Linked DNA regions of Oryzias latipes. The protein of the gene in region 1 interacts with the protein of each later gene in a pairwise test. Links are inferred from orthologs where the notes say so. Each region holds a gene or a part of one and is shown in the gene's direction. Other genes may lie near its edges. The genes, in order: pbx3, pknox1, agtrap, fsd2 and mal2.

Region 1 (4,108 bases):
CATTGAAATATTTTTATTTATCTCTCTGAACATTTAAAGTAAAAAATATATATAAAAATGTTAAAATTTGAATAAACTAAGTTTTGGGAGATAAAGGTTGTGCAGTGAGGTGTTAAAATCCCATTCATTTTTTTGTTTTTTTTTTCCTGCAGTTTTGAGCTTGAGTGTAGGTATTTTACTTTTTTCACATTTCCACAAATAAAGAACAAATTCTCTCTGAACTCTAATTACCTCTGTTCATCGCTGAGTAACTTCAAAAAGTCACAAATGATCAGAATTCACATTTTAAAACTGGGTGAGGTGTAGACAGTCCAGTTTGACTTTTATAAAATGCACTTTTCTTTGCGAGAAATAATGCATGATTGTAGGTGTTTTTCTTCTGTTTCTGTTTGCAAAGATATTAATATGAAAATAAGTCTAGGAATAGAAAACCACGAAGTTTACTGTGATGCTTCATTTAAAGAGGAATCACTCCACAACACTTTCACTGGCGAGACATATGTAGTAGTGTTTTTCTTTTCTTTTCTTTTTTGTTATATTCCCATCTAAATTAAAAATAAAAGTAAAATAGAATTAGTCTATGTAAGGACCAAAGAAGAATTGGAATTAAAAGGGTGTTTTAATGTTTTTTTTAATTATTTTTTGTGTTTTTTTTTGTTTGTTTTTTTAAGATATATTTTTGTCTGAATTAAACATAAATTAAAATAGTATTCACTTGTTTAAGGACCAATGCAGAATTGTTATTTAGAAGGCTTTTACTTTTACTTTATTTATTTATTTGTTTGTTTTATTTGTATTTTTATTTCGAAGATTCCTGTCTAAATTAAACATTAACTAAAATAGTATTAGTTTCTGTAAGGACCAAACCAGTAAATTATAATTTAGAGCTGTAAAAAGCCTCAGAGTACTATCAAATAACCCTAAAAAAGTCCACACCTCATTTTTTCCATCTTACTACTTAATTCTTTTCGTGAATCCGTGCTAAACTCTCACTGTAGAGGAGCATTTTTGTTGCCTTGTATCCAGCTCAACAACTTGTCTGCTGCCATAGCAACTGCGGAGGAGCACCCAGCGCGAGCGCCGCCCGCTTCGTTCAGTCGACGTCACGCGTAGCAACGGCCAATCACAAGTTCCCATGTTTTAGCAAGACTGACACACGAAGTGGGAGGGCGTTTGGCAGCTTGTATCCTCCGCCAATTGGACAGAGGGCCCGTCACTCTCTGCTGTTCTCGCCTTTGATTGGCCAGTGAGCTTTACTTCCAATAATATAAACATGTCTGCCGCTCGCATGGCTTGAACCGAGGCTTGAAGAGCGACTATGCCACATCAAACTGTATAAAACTCCCATGAATTTGCCTGCGGTGTGGGGGCTAAATCTTTATTATTGTTGGAGATAATGCACATAGCTGCACGTGCACGCGTCACGGAAACGAGGACACCCCGCCGCCGCTGCAAGAAAGACAGAGGGGACTCTGCCGTTCTTCTATCATTCTAATCACCATCCTAAGTACTAGCTCCTAACATTTTGTGTTTTGGGGCTCAGGCGAGAAGTGACAACAACATAGACCCCTCCTCTGCAGGGCGGAGCGTGCATTTTCATTTCGTATTTTGTCTTTTTTTTCCCCTACCATTGTAGCCTGCTCTGACACGTCTGCACTGAGTGAGTGGCATTGGCACACTGTCAATCGCTCACTACCGCTGCCATCAAACACATAAAACACACAGGCAGAGGCTGCAGCTCATAAATTTCAGCAGGGCAAGATATTTTTTGCGCATCGTCTTAATACACAATCCTAATTAATTTCTTGTCGTTGTTGCTGCTTTATTTCCTTAACCAGAAATCTTCCAACTTTTTTTGGTTAAGATTTCATATTTTTATAGGAACATTTGGACACCTTTGTGCTACAGATTGTTTTTTTTATTTTTTATTTTTATTTTTTTTTACATTTGACAATTGTCGCTGGAAACATTCCGCGCATTTTGCTGGCAACACCTGCCGAGATTTCTTTGGTCTGTTTCCACATTTGGATATTTTTTTGTTGTTGTTCAGCAGGAGGATATTTTTAAATTTTTATTTTAATTTTTTTTTGGCATCTTCAAGAGGAAATGTGCCGGGAATCTGGTGAAGAGCGCTAAATAAATGAGAGGTCACTAAGGAGCGTTTCTGTCAACACCGCCGGTCAAATCAGAGCAAGAGGTGGAAAAAGAAAAAGACTGCTGCGAGGACTGGATATGATGGACCGTCAATTTTGACAAAGAAGTTTTCGGAAGAAGAAAGATTCATGTGTTTTCTCCCAAATAGAGCTGCGCGTTTTGGCACTTTGGACCGCGCGTAAAGCAGCGAGACGACGCCGACAACTTGGACACATTTTTACGCCTCAGAAAAACAAACAAAAACAAAAACATCCCCCATTTAGTAGTGAGACCGACAAATAAGCCAAAAAGGGGGACATCTGTGCTTTTATTTTGGCCGGACAATCAGTCGTCCATCCTTTCTGCTTGCGGCATATGCTATAGCCGATTTCGTATATGAGTTTTTCAATTTGTGTGGCTCAGTGCACAGACTCTTTAGCGGCTACTATGGACGATCAAGCCCGGATCATGCAGTCGATCGGCGGTGTTAGTCTGGCCGGCCACTCGGTGCAAGGAGGCATGGCACTGCCGCCTCCACATGGACACGATGGGACAGACGGAGACGGACGGAAGCAGGACATCGGTGACATTCTGCATCAAATAATGACCATAACTGATCAAAGTCTGGACGAGGCGCAAGCAAAGTTGGTTGATTTCTATGATTTATTCCATTGACTGTCCACAAAAATAGTCCCCAGCTGCAACAATGTAATCATGTGGCCCGGTTTACTTTGACTGCAATGTGCGTAACAATAGGCTGAAGTGGCTGGAAAGATGTGGAGGTGTAGCTTGTTGATGGCAAAATTGGCACAGAAAAATAAAATCCAAAGTGGCTGCGTTTTAAGTTGCAGAAACTTTGAGTTCACTTGTTTTAAAAATGCATTTACATCTGCAAATAGTTTCAAACCCCCTATATTTTTTTGACAGAAAAGATCATCTGAAGTTAAAAAAAATCATTTTTGAAGTCATCAGTGCTTGTTTTCTTTCTTACATGTCGCTTATCAGTGAACTTATTTCAGTATTTTATTTTTTGTCTTATACTGAAACAGGAAACATGGACTGAACTGTCACAGAATGAAACCAGCACTCTTCAGCGTTCTCTGTGAAATCAAAGAAAAGACAGGTAAGACCAAAAACACATGCAGAAGTTAAAAGAAAAAAAAAAACCAACAACTAGTAGAACATGCATTTTATTGCATCTCCCAGTAATCTAATGACATCCTTCATCCAAGTTACACAGAATTTCCGCCCAAATGAATCCATCATCTTCTGGTTTAAAAAAAACCCAAAACCAAAACAAAGCAAACCAAACTAGCAAAAAACAAAAACATGCCATTGTGCCGTGAGGAAAGGCCACTGCTTGCACAGTACAGCAGGTAGATTGTGTTTCCCCTGAAGACGCTTTTGTTCCTGCTAAAGTCTTGTTATCCAGCACTGGTTGCTTGGATTTAAACAGAAAGCACGCTCCTTCATTCAGCCTCATCACGCTGGCACAGAATAGGATGGGGAAATCCCGCAGCATATGCTCTACACAACTAAAGATCACACAGAATTCATGCTTTCTAACATGACAATTGCTATGCATTTTAAGGAGACTATATAGGCACATAATCTGTTATGGAAACGGGGACATGAACAACAGTGTGGATAAATGCAAATTAAAGAACAGAAACAAATATTGATTGATGGAAATTTGAGTTTTTAAAAATTATGGAAAAAAATTGCTGCTGGCGTATTTGCTTTATGAATGGCAAGTAAATTACAGTTCACATTTTACTGACTTATTTTAAGAAAAAAACGGTCCTTTATTTAAATGAATACCACTGTATTTACAATATTAAAGTGTTAATGATGTAGAAAAACTGTAGACAGTTATGAATAAAGCTACAATAAAATGATCATACAAATTTGCACAGACTTCATCAAATACCTGATATTTATGTGAAACAAGAAAACCTATAAGCACATTTAAATA
Region 2 (4,078 bases), on another chromosome or scaffold:
CAGAGGACCCCCCCCTCAGTGGTCCCATGGTGGCGTCATTAAAAATGTCTTTCTGCTCCACACCCCCCGTGTTCTGCTGCTGGTCTTTTTGGGTTCAGGATGTCTTCACTTCAGACGGGAGAGAACATTAGAACTGATGCTTACAGGCAGGAAGCTCCTGAAGACGACGGGGAACAATTACAAAGAAGCAAAGTTAGGTTTTTACAACATTGGAACAATAGATGCACAACATGTAGAAGTAATAACACAAATATCAAAGAGTCCAAAAGGGCAACAAAGAGGAGAAACTAAGGGAAAAAAGATTAAAACATGCACCGTGTTTTAATTAAAGTTCATAGGTTTCAAAGGTTTTTCAGCTTTTTAACCATTTCAAATACTTTCACAGCAGTTTGACTTGTCATGCACCTAATAATGTAGAAAAACACAAAAGGAACTCATTATTACACCACTATTATAGGATGGTGGTGCAGTGGTTAGCGCTCTTGCCTCACAGCAGGTAGGCCCCTGGTTGAAAACACCAATGGGGGGCCTTTCTGTGTGGAGTTTGCATGTTCTACCCATACATGCCTGGATTTTCTCCGGGGACTCTGCCCCCCCCCCCCTCCCAAAATATGCTTCATAGGTTCATTGGTTCCTCTAAATTGTGCCTAGGTGTGAGTGTGCATGGGTGTGTGCATGTGGCCCTGCGACAGACTGGCGACCCTGTCCAGGATGCCCCCTGCCTTCACCCACCAGTGGCCAGGATAGGCTCCAGCACCCTGTGACCCCAAGAGGAACGAAAAACAGTTAAGAAGATGAATGAACCCCCTAATATATACCATTAGGAGCCTTGCAAGGAATCTGTTTTTCTGTGGGTGCAATTAGAAATCTAGAATCAGAAATTTGAGTTTAGCTAATAAATAGCAGTCACTTAGTCAGGCGAAGTTTTGGGTTAACACAAAAAGTCAATAGTTAACAGTTTATCGTTGGTTAAAGCTGTTTTTGTTCCATTTCATCCTGACTGCTGTGCCACAAACTTCAGACTCGCCCAGGGTCCGTTTTTCTCACTGAGTCCGTGTCGGCTGATGGACTGGACCATCGACCAATCAGAGCTGATGTCGAGAAGGGCGGGAGCTGAGTCGGCCAATAAAATTCCACGGGGGGGCCGAGGCACCCCTGCTCCCCTCTTTGGACACACCCCTGCGCACGCGCGCGGCGTAACAAACAGCCTCTAAATCAGGCCTCAGGGACTCGGAGGCATGCTGACGTCAGAGCTCCGCCCTCCTCATCCATAAACATGAGCCGAGCGCTGCTGCGTGCCCCTGCGCGATGACGCAACGCGACAACTGCGGGTCCCGATTGCTGCAGCCGCTTGTCAGTGTGACGAAGATTGGCACTCAGGTAAGCTGTCACTCAAAATCCCTCTTTTTCCGTTCCCTATCAATCAAACAATCTGGGCCGCACGTAAAAATGCCCCAGGGCGAGGAGCGCGGACCTAGTCAAGGCGGCGGAAGGCGTCCTGGGAAGCAAAACCCCAGTGTTAGAGCTGCGGGAGGAATTCAAATAAATAAAAAAATAGAAGGGAGAGGGGGGGTTGAAATATGTCTGCGTTTGCAGGCAGAGGAGGATGGTGAAGAAGGAGAGGGCGAGAGCCACGAGCGAGGCCCGACACATGCAACGTTAGCGCGGAGGGAGGGAGGGAGGGGACGCAGCTGTCCCCGCATGATTGATCGACTCACGGGGGAGGATTTCAAGATCAACCTGGCTACGCGGTGCGCGGCCAGTGCTTTGTGTTGTCCCAGTCCCAACGCTTAACACAATTAAAAATTTGGAAAAAAACGAACAACCACTAAAAGTGTTTGGCTAATGGCAGAGGCCGCAGCTCCGCGTCAGACGGCTCCCTTTGTATCACTCCGCAGCGGGCTTTTTTTTTTATAACCTGGCTAGCACAGTTAGCATGTTTTTTAATCTTGAATGTGATGTTTGCTTTGAGGTTCCCGCCTCTCCACACATGACGGCGCGTGTTTTTACAGCATGAAAAACACTCCCGTTTCTCTTCATGTTCGTTCCGATGTTCTGTAGGCTAGCTTTAGTCGGGAGGTCGGGCTAACGAGCGTGCCCGTTCCTTTACATCCCATGGCGGTGGCGAAATCAAGCCCCCTCTAAACCCCCTTCTTTCATAAAGCACGCAGACGTTAGCCTCAGGGGTGCGTTGGATTTAACCTCCTCTCCGTGCCGCGGTAGCTGTGCTAGCAAAGCCGCGGCTAACTCAAGCTCCCCCAAAACAAATATCCAAATAAAGTGCTGTGCGCTCGGGCACGCGCCCGTGAAAACATTCCCCCGGGATAAGGCCCGTCATTCCCGGGCAGCTGGAACGTCAGCTGCGTGGTTACACTAGTGTTTCCTGACAGAGCGGTGACGTCAGTGACCGTGTTGTCGTTGCAGGTCGGGCCCTGGTCCTGCTGTCTAGGATGAGCCGCGGTCTGCAGGTTCTGCAGTGAACGTGATGGCGGCCCAGTCAGTGTCCCTTGACAAGTACCCGAAGGAGGAGCATCAGGTGGGTGAGGCTCACCTGAGGCCTCCGGCAGCTGCTTCTACCTGAACGAGGTCAAAGTTAACCATGACCCTGATGTTCCAGGTGGTCCCCCCCCTCCTGAATGTTGAAGGCTGAGTGTGTCCTCCACTTGTTTTAGCCCAGAATACAGCAGCCAGCAAAGGACACGCCCCTAAAGTCTGGCCACCTCTGAGCAGAACAGCTTGGTCAGTCCAGAACTTACACACACTGCTCTGTCTCCACCTGTAGAAGTTCGGTTCTCTGACAGCTCCTCTGATGTTCTGAGCAGCAGAACCGTGACCCGGTTCTAAATGTTGGGACTGAGCCTGCAGAACACAGGACGTTCTGATGTGGTTTGATACCGGCCTCCCCCGTTCTTCCTTTAGGGAGGCCATTTAGTGAAACGTTGAGCAAGCTGGACGCCGGTGTTCGATTCCCAGCAGGCTGTTTGGGCTCGTAGTGCTCCTCTAGGAACTGAAGTCACGTGTGTCTGAATTCCTCCCCTGCTCACTCTACAGCGCGTTCTCCATGTTCTAGTTTGTCTGAATCTACAATCCCAAAATCCAGAGCCCTAGAAATTTCCCAGAAGTCTCTGTGAAAAACCAGTGAGCATCAATGCTCACTAGATCTGAGAACATAGACCACAATGCATTGCATCGGAACAAATTTAGCCCCCAAAAATGTCTTTAAATAAATAAACCATCAATGTTTTAATCCTCAGAACTCAGTGGACTCATAAATAATCATATCATAATAAATAATCGTCAGAAAACGCTCATATCAATTAGAGTTTAACTTTGTGAAATCGATGACATCATATCCGCCGTTTAAAAAAGAAGAATAGTGATCATGGAGTCTGAACCGCGTTTGTAATTCAGGGCTCTACATAGTGCTGCACTGCATTTCTAGGGGTTCTGACACAGCCACGGTGGATCTGTCCTTCAGAAGATGGAACTGCTCAGGAACAGAGTTTTTAGCTCGGGGGGGGGGTCGGGCTGGAGAACGTCAGGCTCCTTGATGGGGAGACTGAGGAGCAGAGAGGACATCGTCTCCAGAGGTTTCACTGAAGATGCTGTAGTCCTGCTTCAGAGAGGAGACGGTCCTGTCTGTGAGGGGGCGGAGCTTCATCCTCAGACGCCTCCTCTTCCTCGCTCTCTGCTGTTCTCCTGAATGTTTTTGATGCAACATCATGAAATGCAAGTTTCTCAGAGATGTTCTGGTATTTTATCTGTGGACACAAATAAATGAAAGGAGCGCCATCTTTGTGGTTAAATGAGCTTTCAGAGCGTTGGTGTTCTTCATCTGCTCTGAGCTCAGGAAAGCTTCTACCATGGAGGTCCTTGACTTACAAGAACATGCCTGGTTTTTCACGCCTTCTGGTTTCTCCGTCCCGCAGATGCAGGGCGGGGTAAAGGACGACAGCGACTCGGAGCACACCTTCATCGGGGGGCCGTTGGCAGAAATGCCGAGCCCGGGCCACACGGAGCTGAAGAACCCCATGGATGCAGACAAGGCATCGATCTACCGGTACATCCTGTTTGTGTT
Region 3 (3,073 bases), on another chromosome or scaffold:
GGGGCGGGGTGTTTAACCTTTAACCCTTACAGAGCCACTAAGTCTCGCCTCACCCTTTAGAGAAGAAGGACACTCATTTGTGTTCTTGTTACCTTTTTGGGGGGGGGGGGGGGGGGGGCATAAGTAACATAAAACATGAATGTGAATGGAAGTCATGAACTACTGTTCACATGACATCCTTTCAAAATAAAAGCCACCCTGTTGATCATCTCTAAGCAGCCAAAGTAGTGGTGTGACGTCAGCAGGGATTGAAAACCGTTTAGTATTTATCGATTTATCACCTCTGCCACAAATGTCTAAAGCTGACTAATCACAATTATATCAAAGCTAATAAAGTGACCTGCATTTTATTTTTTTGAACCATAGGGAGCTTAACAAAATGAAAAAGTATAAGAAATCTGGTTTCTCATCGGCTGCGCCTTGATTGTGGTTGTGCTTATTGACCTCCAGCTGATTTTCTGTGGCTCAGAAATCTGTCTAATCTGTCGGTGAAGGAGTTAATAGTACTTTATTTCACTTTCTTTCAATTTGACTTACCTACTACTTTACAGTTAAAGATTTCATCAAAGTCCCTCCAGGATGAAAGTTCCAGAAGAAAGTAGAGTTTTCACCCGGGGGTGTGGCTCTCTGATATTGAAAACTCTATTCTGGAACTTTTTTCCTGGAGGGCCTTCGATGTAACGCTCAACGTTCTGTTCTTTCTGTTTGGATCTCACTCCTCTGCCTCTGCTCGTTTTCTGCCCCCCCCCCCCCTGCAGTTTCTGGTGGGCATCACGGTGACCATTCTGACCGACATCATCCACTTCGGAGTCTACTTTTCCCCCGGCCTCTTCGACTCCAGCGTGTTCCGCTTCAGTGCGGGGATGGCCATCCTCAACCTGCTGCTCAAACCCGTGTCCTGCTTCTTCGTGTACCAGATGTACCGCGAGCGGGGGGGCGAGTACAGCGTCAACTTTGGTGAGTCCCGTCGGCGCGGTAAACGCATCAGAGAGGGTTCTGGGAGGACGGGAGTCTTTCACCTCCAAACGGGGCAAATGTTCTTCCTGAAGGAGCAGCACAAACCTCCTCCTCCTCCTCCTCCTCCTCTCAGCAGCTCCTTCAACTCCAACAAAACTTCATTTTAGACAAAAGTTTCTGCAGAGCGGGAAGGATTCATTTGAAACGTGTCTACGAGTTTTGGGCGGAGTAAGCCTGCGCTAACTTCCCATCATCCCTTGGTTTACTCTCTCTCCCACTAACTTACAGCCTCCCCCAATCTAGCATTAGCTGAGTTTGTGTATCGCTGATTGAATTTTTTACGTCACAACTTTGGATTTTTTCATCTGCTCCTGATCCCCAGAAATACTCAGAAAAGCAAACTCAACCTTAATTGTCTTTATATTTGATCAGACAAACAAAAAAATGTTAAATACGGAGGTTTAATCTAATCGGACATGATCTGTTTTCAGGTTAGCACACAGTTTTGGAAACCATCCAAAAAACACAAGAATCAATTAGTTTTTTATTTTTATTGTGTTTATTTATTTGAATCGGGACACTGCATATTAATCAAAGATTCAGCATAAATATGCCAGAGTTTTAGCACAAGAGCTACATTTCATCCGTTGTCCTAAGGCAGAAAGGTTCAACAAATTCATCTACAACACATTACAAAAGCACAATATTAGTGATAAAGATATTTACTAAGGTTATTTACAATAAAACAAGAGTCTAAAAAAGCCAAGAAAGACGACAATAATTTGTCTGCAGGACTGGTTTGTTTTCAGCTGTTCTGATTTCTGCTGATCCAGGAAGTCTGATCATCTTAACTAATTATTTAAATTAACTTGAAGTAATCAGTCAAATCCTCCTGAACTTCTGCTGAACATTCAAGTTTCTTCTTTGTTTCTTTTTCAAGGTTTTCCTGTTTTTAGTCTGTGCCGGTCACAAAAAGTTCAAATCAACTCTGGTTTTAAAGTTCTGCTGCATTTTAGCTCCAACTTCAAAAATGAAGCCGGTTAAAAAGTGAAACTGTCCCGGGGGGGTCCGTTGAATCCCAGTTTTATCTGAGAACTTTTGAGGACCAGTTTCTGACATTCTAAAACCCTTCTAACATCACGGAAAATATTCCTTTCTTTTCTGCAATGATGTGAATCAAAAAGCCCCACATTTGAACTTTTTACAAATGACCAGAAAGGTTTTCCTTTAATACTTTTCCTCAGAAATCCTTTTTTTTATCCGTCGACTTTCTGATGCGTCTCCTCCTCATTCTCTCTATTTTTTTGTCCACGTTTTCCATACATCGTTTAACAAACACAACTTTTTATTCTACATTCACTCATTCTGTGAAAAAAATTAAATAAAAAGAGAATTTTCTGTTTTTAGTAACACAGAGAAAAATTAAAGTGAAATGAAAGGGATTCAAACGTTTAAAGCTTTCTAAAATGTGAAGCAAGAATATTTGTGCAAAGAAAAACTGGAGGAAGAGTCATCTGAATAAAAAGCCAACAAGAAGAAACCGAAACGATAGAAAACTAGATTTAAGGATTAAATTTACACCAGAGAAGAGAGGAAAATACTTGGAAATGAACATTGACTGTATCAGAGAACTGGACTGAGCGAGTGTGATGTCATCCACAGAAAATGTTTCTCTTCCGACTCCAACCAAATGAAGTCGAATCAGCCGCCATTGTTTTGTGATTGTGGTCGCCACCATGTTGGAGCCATACGTCATCAGTAAGCAGCCATTGGTCCGAGTCCTTGTTTCTATGGCAACCATTCTCACCAATCAGGAGTGAGCTTGTTGGAAGACCACACCCCTTCCACTGAAAGCAGAGTCACTCAGTCCAGTTCTCTTATAGAGTCAATGGACCGCTCTGGAATTGGAGCATGTGAGGTTTCACCTGTGCTCTCTGGTACGGACATCTTCTCAGAATATTATATATTGCTCAGTAATAAACAGACTGCAGACACTTTGTCACCTTTCTGGTAGCCATGAAGCCTGACATCCATGAAGAACGCGGGCAGGAGGCTCCGCCTTTGTTCATACAGACACGTAACGTTACGCAAACAAAACATGTAGTGATATTCATGG
Region 4 (3,969 bases), on another chromosome or scaffold:
GAAGTACTCCTCCACATCCCGCTCGTCTTGAGTGAACAGCGTTTCCAGAACAATCTTTCGGCCGCAGAAGTCGATCGCTGTGACAAAGTATTTCTCCAGTTTCCTGCACGGCGTGTCGAAGTCCCTCTCGGCGTCGTCGTGCTCCGGAGCTGACCTCCGGCTTTGAAACAGCAGCTCCCACAGATTGCCTTCTTCAAACGCAGACAAGTCTGGAAAGCACGCGCAAAGGATGTCCGCCACGCACGTGAACTGCTGGTGGATGTGCTTCAAGTCGCTGACAGAGAAGAGTCCAGCCCAGCTGAGCGGAGACTCGCCAGCATCGACTTCAGCTTTGCGTTTCTGCCGCTGCAGCGTTCGGTTGTGGCAGGTGACGGCGAACTTTGACTCGATGGCGTTCCACTCTACGATAAAGCCCAGCTTCACTGCCTCGTTCTCCTCGAATATATTACTTTTGACGGCCACCCAGCCGTCCAGACTGTCCAGCCGGTCAACCTCAACGCCGTCCATCCTAAAAACACGTTCATTTGGCCTCCGATGAACTGTTGGCTCTGTTTACAACGTCCGCCATTTCTATCCCGGAAGTAGCCTTCAGGTGCCACCCAAAATACTCGGAATTATTAAAGACCGAACGCTAATCATGCAGACAATGTTAAACGCAGTCATTTTAAGGCACTTTTTTGCTCAAATAAAAAACTTAAAAGTACAGGTATATTTTCACAAAATTGTATGTGGTTATTATAGAAGTAATTATACTTTTACGCTATTGTGCAACTTATTTTTACTTTAATATTAATTGTTTCAAGTTGTGTACCTGTTTCATGTTTACAAAACAGTTAGAATATCACATACCTGATAACAATATACGAAAATACGAAGTTTAACCCCCAAAAAAGTATAAAACAAGAGTCTGTATGTTTGATTTGGACTTTTACAATGACCTAGAATGCCTCATGACGGCATTGACTAACTTTCACCTTTGACCTTTAAAGTCACATGCTTGGGGATTTTCCTTACATCAGACTCAAACTTATGGAGTTATCAAAACTGTTTGTGCTATATTTTTGTCTCAAATAACAAAACACAGAAATGAAACTGTGTTATTCACAAAACTGTATTTGATTTTCCCTGAAATAATAAATGTTTTGCAGTCATTTGGTGTGCTTGTGACATCTGAGCAACATGAGTCCATTCTATTTTTGTCCCAGCTTCTGGTTGAGACTTTTGGAGACTTTGCTTGTCAGACACTCGGCTGCCTATTTAAAAAGAGACTGAATCAGTCAGTTATTCTGGTAATTTTAGTATAATCTTATTTACTATTTTTTAGACCAGCAGGACCTACAAAGTGTGTTTAAAATGAAGTTCTTGTGTTTTTTGTTCTGCACTTTCTTGTTATAGATGTATAAATTGTGGATCTGTGCACTGGTGCAGATTTAAATCGAATGGACCCGAGTGAAGTCTGAAGATGGAGGCTGGATGGGATTGAAGCCAGGCACAAGGACATTTAGCTGAAACTCTACAAAAATGGAGACACATAAAGGAGTTTCAGATCGAGGAGGAAGGACCTTCCAGAGATTTTCTGTCGACACCAATGAGTCCCTTCATTTTGAACCCTGTGAGGACAGCTCTCCGTCTCCCACCGGAATAGAGCATGATGAAGATAATGTGTTCATTAAAGACGAAAATGAGGTAAAAATCCCTAGAATGAGTGTGTTTGTACATTTATTGTATTTAAAGCAGCATGAAAGAATAATTACATTTATTTAAAAAAAATGAAAGCAGTGCACAATTCCACATTTGTTTGTTAGCTAACCAAATAAAAGCCCTGGCAGCAAAAGACTGACTCATAAGTCATGTTACTGGTTTGAACATAAAACAGAAAAAGCTGGAGGCATGACTTGCATTTGCTTTTAGAGTGAAATGACCTCAATCAGGAACCGATTGCAAGGCAAGGTTGCTGAGATGGAGAACTTTGCTGGACACCTGGAGGAGATCTTTCTTACTGTTGAGGTACGATGACAGTCAGGTCTGCTTAAAAAATTAATAAATAAATGTAGTTTAAAAATGTTTCTTCTCCCCACCATTCATGGGGGCTTGTCATTACTTTTGCTACTCAACCTTTGATTTATACATTTATTGTTACGTAAGTGTGTACGTCTACCCTTCTGTGCTTCCTACTCACACACTTGGGGTATGACCCATCATTATTCGTATCTCTGGGCTGGTACATGCAGGAGAACTTTGGCCGTCAAGAGCAGCACTTGGAGCAGCACCACAATGACGTGCTGCAGACGCTGTCCCAGCGCCACAATGAGAGGGCTGCAGGCCTGGTGGAGGAGAAGAAGAGTAAGATGGAGGCTCTGTACAGTCAGCTGCTCTCCTGCGGTCAAGCACTGGATGCCTCCAAGGAGCTCATTGAGACAGCCCAGGAGATCTACCGCACGCCAGACAAGAGGGTGTTCCTGAAGGTACCTGTGTTTTAGTTGTTTCATTTTAATTTTCTAAAGTAGATGTTCAAAGTTGTGTTCGTCTTTAGACACACAATGCCTATTTTTGCTTTTAGGAAAACACACAGTCATTCCATATGCACAAACCACTCATTTAGAATTTTCAATTTAAATCCTGTCCTTTTGTTTCATATATTTTGACAGACAGTTATGCCCATCATTAAAAGGTAACGTGGATGATGCTCAGTGAGTATGCATGGTGTGACGTGGATTCAAAGGGATTTTTGTGTTATTAAACCACACTCTTAGAATTGGGATTGTAGTTTTATACATTGCCTGTGTGTGTTTTGCAGAATTGAGATGTTTGCTAAGGAGAAGGTTGATCTCACATTGTCCACAAAGCTTGACTTTGAAACACCCCAAGCTGATCTGTCTGATGTGAAAACCATGATGGACTCCGTCAATGCCGTCCCAGGTCTGTTATGACCACTTCACCCATTCACTCACTGGCCACATTAGGTACACCTTGCTATTATCAAGTTGGACAGGAGGGGCACCCGGTGTGGTCTTCTGCTGCTGTAGCCCATCTGCCTCAAGGTTGGACGTGTTGTGCGTTCAGAGATGTTCTTCTGTACACCTCAGTTGTAACCAGAGGTTATTTGAGTTACTGTTGTCTTTCTATCAGCTGAAACCAGTCTGGCCATTCTCCTCTGACCTCTGACATCAAGAAGGCACTTCCGCCCACAGAACTGCATCTATCTGGATATTTCTTCTTTTTCAGACCATTCTCTATAAACCCTAGAGATGGTTGTGGGTGAAAATCCAGGTAGATCAGCAGCCCGTCTGGTACCAACAACCATGCCACGTTCAAAGTCACTTCAATCACATTTCTTCTCCATTGTGATGCTCGGTTTGAACTGCAGCAGATCATCTTGACCATTTCTACATGTCTCAATGCACCAAGTTTCTACCATGTGATTGGATGATTAGAAATGTGTGTAGAGGACCAGCTGGACAGGTGTGCTTAATAAAATGGCCAGTGAGTGTATACACACATGTGCATCTATCAAAAAAATGTGCGGAACTCTGGTTTCCATACAAGAACTAAAAAAGATTGTTGGTCCGACTTGAGTTTATCTTTTAGGGCATTACACGAACAACATGTTAATGTTAGTATTTTTTACACATAAAAACAGCTCCATCTGCTCCGGTAATCAACCCCCAGATGTCCAACTCAGCCACGCAGACGTCTTTGCGTGTTTGCTGGAGTTTATTCTCTGACGACACGGTGGAGTACTATGACCTTTACTACAGACCCGTGCTGGAGGACACGCTAGCAGACGGCTTCTGCCAACCACATGGTACCAGGTGGTTAAAGATCTAATGACCCTGGAGACAAGCTGGAGACTAAATGTGTGTTTTTCTATAGTAAGCACAGTAAAAGTGAAGGAGACTCACTGCACGGTGACAGATCTGCTCCCTAACGCTCAGTATGAGCTCTGGGTAACAGCGACCAACACCACAG
Region 5 (4,229 bases), on another chromosome or scaffold:
AAATGAGCTCGAGAAAATGACTCATATTTGATTTTGTTTTTTTAAAAAGAGGTTATTTAGTGTGCTAAAGGTAATATATGGATGTCGTTTACTCTGACAGACTTCAGAATTGCATGGTATAGGCCCTTTAATATTTTAAACTAAACAGTGAGTACATTTTCTTATAAATGAAATAAATGTAAAATTAATAGTGTTTGACGCCCTGCGACAGACTGGTGACCTGTCCAGGGTGTCCCCAGCCTTCGCCCACAAGTGGCCGGACACGCTCTGGCAGCCCCCTGACCCCGAAAAGGACAAAACGGCTTAGGAGATGAAAGAATGAACGACTGTTTGACCTCTGAATGTGTTATTTTTGAAAAACCATTGAGCCTTTTAAAGGTTTTATGAAGAGAATCCAAATCAAAACTAGTATAAAACAAGAAAAAAACTCATCACAAACAATGAAAAATAGACTTTGACTATACAAGGGAAAAGATTCAGTCCACTAAAAATGAACAGTGCCCTCTTGGAGGTTAAACCAACATTGGTTAACATAATCTAAACTCAAGCTAATCATTGACAGTGGTTTATCATAAAAACTGTGCTTTTTCACCATGACAGCCCAGTGGTTCAGTTTAAATCTGTCATTTATTTCACAGGACACCATACAAGTGTTATTTTAGTAACATTTGTGTTCCTTTAAAAGTCTTTGGTGAAATTACAATATAAAAGTAAACTTTTTTTTCAATGTTATCTAGGTCATTTCTATTTTTTTAAAGCAGGTTTTTTTTTAAATCATGTTTAGGTTTATAAAGATTTAGGTTTCCCAACACCGTCTGGTCAAGTTTTCCTCTTGTCTAACAAACCTGATTAAGCTCCTGAGTTTAATCATGACTTGAGAATGAGTCATTTATTTGAGTTGGGTGTGTTTGACAGAGAAAAGCAGTAAAACACTCTGGGCAGGGATGCTTAAGGAACAGGGTTGTGAAACACATAGTGATTCCTAATAAGAAAAAGGAAGAAAACTGCTATCCTTGATCGTTACAGGGCCAAAGGGCATTTGATAAAAGCATAATCATGCAAATTTCAGAGTTGGCAATATCAAACACTAATAATAAAAGTGTGGAAAAACTTGAAGAAGTGCCTCATATATGTTTTACTCGTGCCTGTTTGACACATGCGAGATTTTCTTTCAGAAATGTTAAATAAAATGTAGGTTATTCCAAATAATTGATTTTCCCAACACTTTTCCTGTAGAACATTGGACAAAATAAAGGGGCTTTTTCTACTTATTTTAGTCAAACTACTAATTTAGTTGACTACACAAGACTACAATGTAATAACAATACCAGAACACGTTTATAATATATTTATAATAAACTTTTTAAACCCGTCCTTGTTTTATAAAATGGATATTGTGATGTGGGATCTTCCGAGACGTCCCTGAACGCATCCCTCGTATCCAGGGAGTGGCCGCTGCACCTGTCCGACCTGTTCGAGGACACATGATTCCGCAGGAATTTCTGCCTCTGTGCCCGTCCTTTGTTTAACGGGTAAATTCAGAGAGCTTAGTTATTCAGAGAGCAAGGAGATACAAGGAGAGGTGAAAAATGTCGGAGCCAGCCTCTAACCCCGCCGCCGCCACCGCTGCCCCGGTGGACCCCGCCGCCGCCACCTCCTTCCCGACGGCAACCATTTCTCTACCTCTGGGTTTGGGTGTGTTACGGACTTATTCTGGAGTTCTCATCTGCATAGAAATAGTGAGTGATTGTTTACAAGCGGTTGTTTTATTCTATATTTATTCACATCCTTATTACTAATATATAGTAAAATCTGTTAGGAATCAGTTTTTGTCTATAGTTTAGTTTGTTACTGTTGTTGCAAACTGTATCTGCTCATTCGACATCATGTCTCTTAGGGATGCGACTTTTGCACATTTGTAGTCGTGCGCTAAAGTCACGTCCTTTAATATAAAATTATAGAAGAAGACCACAAGTGAGTTTTGGTTTGTGTCTACATTATTGTGTCATAAACATACAAGGTGACCTCTGCACAGCACTTCCATGAAAGCTCTAATCTAATCTAACAGGTATTTTACTACTTATCTTGATGCCTTAGTTTGTGCAGAAAAGGAAGAGCATATGTTGGAAACATTCAAAGAATTAATTGCCGATCTGTGGCTATTAAGGTGTGAGCCTGGTTGATGTTAACCCTTGAACTTCCCACCCACTAAAATAATGCTTTTAGTTGGTTTTGTGAAAAAGAAAACTTACCTAATAAGGATGATCAGAGAAGAATGCATTATGAACTAACAATTTATGATACTTTGCTTCAAAAGAATCATAAAAAATTGGACATTTTAATCAAGGGCTAAGTAAATTCCTTAAAAAGATTGAGAGAGAAAACAAGCAGCAAAGATGCCAAAATGGCCAAAGTTTTTCAATTATTCACCAACTAAAATGCAATAACACTTACGTGGTATAATTAATTTGCCAAGATATTGAGTGCCTCGGGGTAACTGTTCAAATGATGCATGACAATTTTCACATAGATGCCATACACTTAAAACTTTCAGCTCATGTTAGTAAAGGGGAGCATTAAGCAGGAGAACAAATCCAACCATTGCAGAAAAATATTTTCATATTTACCTCTTGAACTGCATACATGCCTTGTCCTCAATTACAGGAAGAAAGTGTACTTTCAATCATTCATCTGCTAAACCTGGATTGTCCCTTTTGGGGTCATGGGGCTGCCGGAGCCTATCAAGGCCACTCGTGGGCAAAGGCAGGGGACATCCTGGACGCCAGTCTGTCACAGGACCACAATCACACACCCATGCACACCCACATTCACACCTAGGGACAATTTAGAGAAGGGCTGCACGATAAGAGGAAAACTTGCGATATTAGTGATCAATATTGCGATGACGATATAACTTGCAATAAATGAACAAATAGCAAAATCAACAAAAATATTTCCATTTCACTGAACAGTTTAATTTAAATAAGAGTCAAAATGCCTTTAATTATTCTCCAAATGACCCTCGTCTAATTAGGAGGGCAACATCTAACATAAAAGCTCCATCGGATTGGTTAGCAATGTGAAAGGCTCCATCTGATTGGTATCAAGGGATTTATTCAATTATGTATTCAATTCTTATGATTCAAGTGGCCATAAGATTTTTTTAGCACATTTAAGGTTTACCTTTTATTGCGATTTTAGCTGTCTTTTGTGATATGGATAATGCACAGCGATAATGCATCGCGATAACAATAAATTTGCGATTTATTGTGCAGGCCTAATTTAGAGTAACTAATTAACATGTGAAGCATGTTTCTGGAGGTGGGCGGAAGCTGGAGTCCCCAGAAAAAGCCCATGCAAACTCCACACAGAGAGGTACCCCATTGGTGTTCTGTTTCATGTCTATGGCGTTTCATGGCTGCCACTAATTTTATCAAGCGCAAAGATAAGGACTGACTGAGCGAAACTTATAACTGCGCAATTTCAACCGAGCGACCCCGCATTTTACAACTGCACAGTTGCAATCTTAACCGAGTGGCGATCCTGCATGCTCGCTGGGTTTGCGCGAAGTGTTCAGGGGGTGTTTTTGTCACTTGGGGGCAGTAACCTTTCTGGTTGATCTGATTGGCAGAAATCTGTATGTCAAATCCAGTGAGGCAGCGGGGCGGGAGTTTAAATTTTTTTAGAGGCTTTAATAGAAAATAACGGCGAACATATTGTGGATTGAAATGTTAACGAAAACACGAATTCAGTGATTTTACATGAGAAAAACTTACACAAAAAAAAAAACCCACTGCACTTTCTTAACTTAGCTTATGAGCTGAAGTAAAGCTTTTTCTTTTCCCTGAATGAAACCAATTAATGTGTGCGATTTTTTCATTCACGTTTTTATTTCACACACACACACATGTACAAGAGGTTGCAACACAGATTCACCATTTCTAATTGATTTGTTCATTTATATGTTTATAAAGAAAATTGATCAGTTTACAATTACAGTTTGAGTTTTATTAAAATACTGGCTCATTTAAGAGCATAGAGTGTTTTTAATCAATATAATCTATATGTTTTTGTCACTTGAGGCAGTAACCTCTCATTTTTTTGGCTTTGATAGCATAAAAGACGACGGATGTAACGTGGATTAAAATGTTTACGAACAACCCAAAACCAATTATGGGAATAAGTTTAAGTTCAGGTTTTTTTCGACTGGGACATAATGAAAGACCAAG

The links.
Region 2: the proteins of pbx3 (region 1) and pknox1 interact in a two-hybrid assay, tested with the Homo sapiens proteins (2 studies listed by BioGRID and IntAct). The link is inferred for Oryzias latipes from reciprocal best matches to the Homo sapiens genes PBX3 and PKNOX1.
Region 3: the proteins of pbx3 (region 1) and agtrap interact in a two-hybrid assay, tested with the Homo sapiens proteins (4 studies listed by BioGRID). The two-hybrid records come from large-scale screens. The link is inferred for Oryzias latipes from reciprocal best matches to the Homo sapiens genes PBX3 and AGTRAP.
Region 4: the proteins of pbx3 (region 1) and fsd2 interact in a two-hybrid assay, tested with the Homo sapiens proteins (3 studies listed by BioGRID and IntAct). The two-hybrid records come from large-scale screens. The link is inferred for Oryzias latipes from reciprocal best matches to the Homo sapiens genes PBX3 and FSD2.
Region 5: the proteins of pbx3 (region 1) and mal2 interact in a two-hybrid assay, tested with the Homo sapiens proteins (2 studies listed by BioGRID). The two-hybrid records come from large-scale screens. The link is inferred for Oryzias latipes from reciprocal best matches to the Homo sapiens genes PBX3 and MAL2.

Annotation. Positions count from the first base shown.
Region 1 is NC_019867.2:19,129,171-19,133,278, forward strand, and holds the start of pbx3 (pre-B-cell leukemia transcription factor 3), read left to right. Parts: upstream 1-1,298; 5' UTR 1,299-2,529; coding exon 2,530-2,777; intron 2,778-3,176; coding exon 3,177-3,256; intron 3,257-4,108. UniProt on the Homo sapiens protein: Transcriptional activator that binds the sequence 5'-ATCAATCAA-3'.
Region 2 is NC_019879.2:31,114,590-31,118,667, forward strand, and holds the start of pknox1 (homeobox protein PKNOX1), read left to right. Parts: upstream 1-1,268; 5' UTR 1,269-1,308; coding exon 1,309-1,380; intron 1,381-2,421; exon of another isoform or gene 2,422-2,485; coding exon of another isoform or gene 2,486-2,536; intron 2,537-2,617; exon of another isoform or gene 2,618-2,739; intron 2,740-3,929; coding exon 3,930-4,060; intron 4,061-4,078. UniProt on the Homo sapiens protein: Activates transcription in the presence of PBX1A and HOXA1.
Region 3 is NC_019863.2:32,259,490-32,262,562, reverse strand, and holds part of agtrap (type-1 angiotensin II receptor-associated protein), read left to right. Parts: intron 1-758; coding exon 759-957; intron 958-3,073. UniProt on the Homo sapiens protein: Appears to be a negative regulator of type-1 angiotensin II receptor-mediated signaling by regulating receptor internalization as well as mechanism of receptor desensitization such as phosphorylation.
Region 4 is NC_019861.2:13,794,281-13,798,249, reverse strand, and holds the start of fsd2 (fibronectin type III and SPRY domain-containing protein 2), read left to right. Parts: upstream 1-1,157; 5' UTR 1,158-1,289; intron 1,290-1,325; exon of another isoform or gene 1,326-1,342; intron 1,343-1,395; 5' UTR 1,396-1,521; coding exon 1,522-1,686; intron 1,687-1,911; coding exon 1,912-2,007; intron 2,008-2,231; coding exon 2,232-2,465; intron 2,466-2,648; coding exon 2,649-2,671; intron 2,672-2,797; coding exon 2,798-2,919; intron 2,920-3,640; coding exon 3,641-3,805; intron 3,806-3,873; coding exon 3,874-3,969. Other genes in the region: whamm (WASP homolog-associated protein with actin, membranes and microtubules), read right to left, coding at 1-507.
Region 5 is NC_019874.2:10,913,542-10,917,770, forward strand, and holds the start of mal2 (protein MAL2), read left to right. Parts: upstream 1-1,428; 5' UTR 1,429-1,589; coding exon 1,590-1,739; intron 1,740-4,229. UniProt on the Homo sapiens protein: Member of the machinery of polarized transport. Required for the indirect transcytotic route at the step of the egress of the transcytosing cargo from perinuclear endosomes in order for it to travel to the apical surface via a raft-dependent pathway.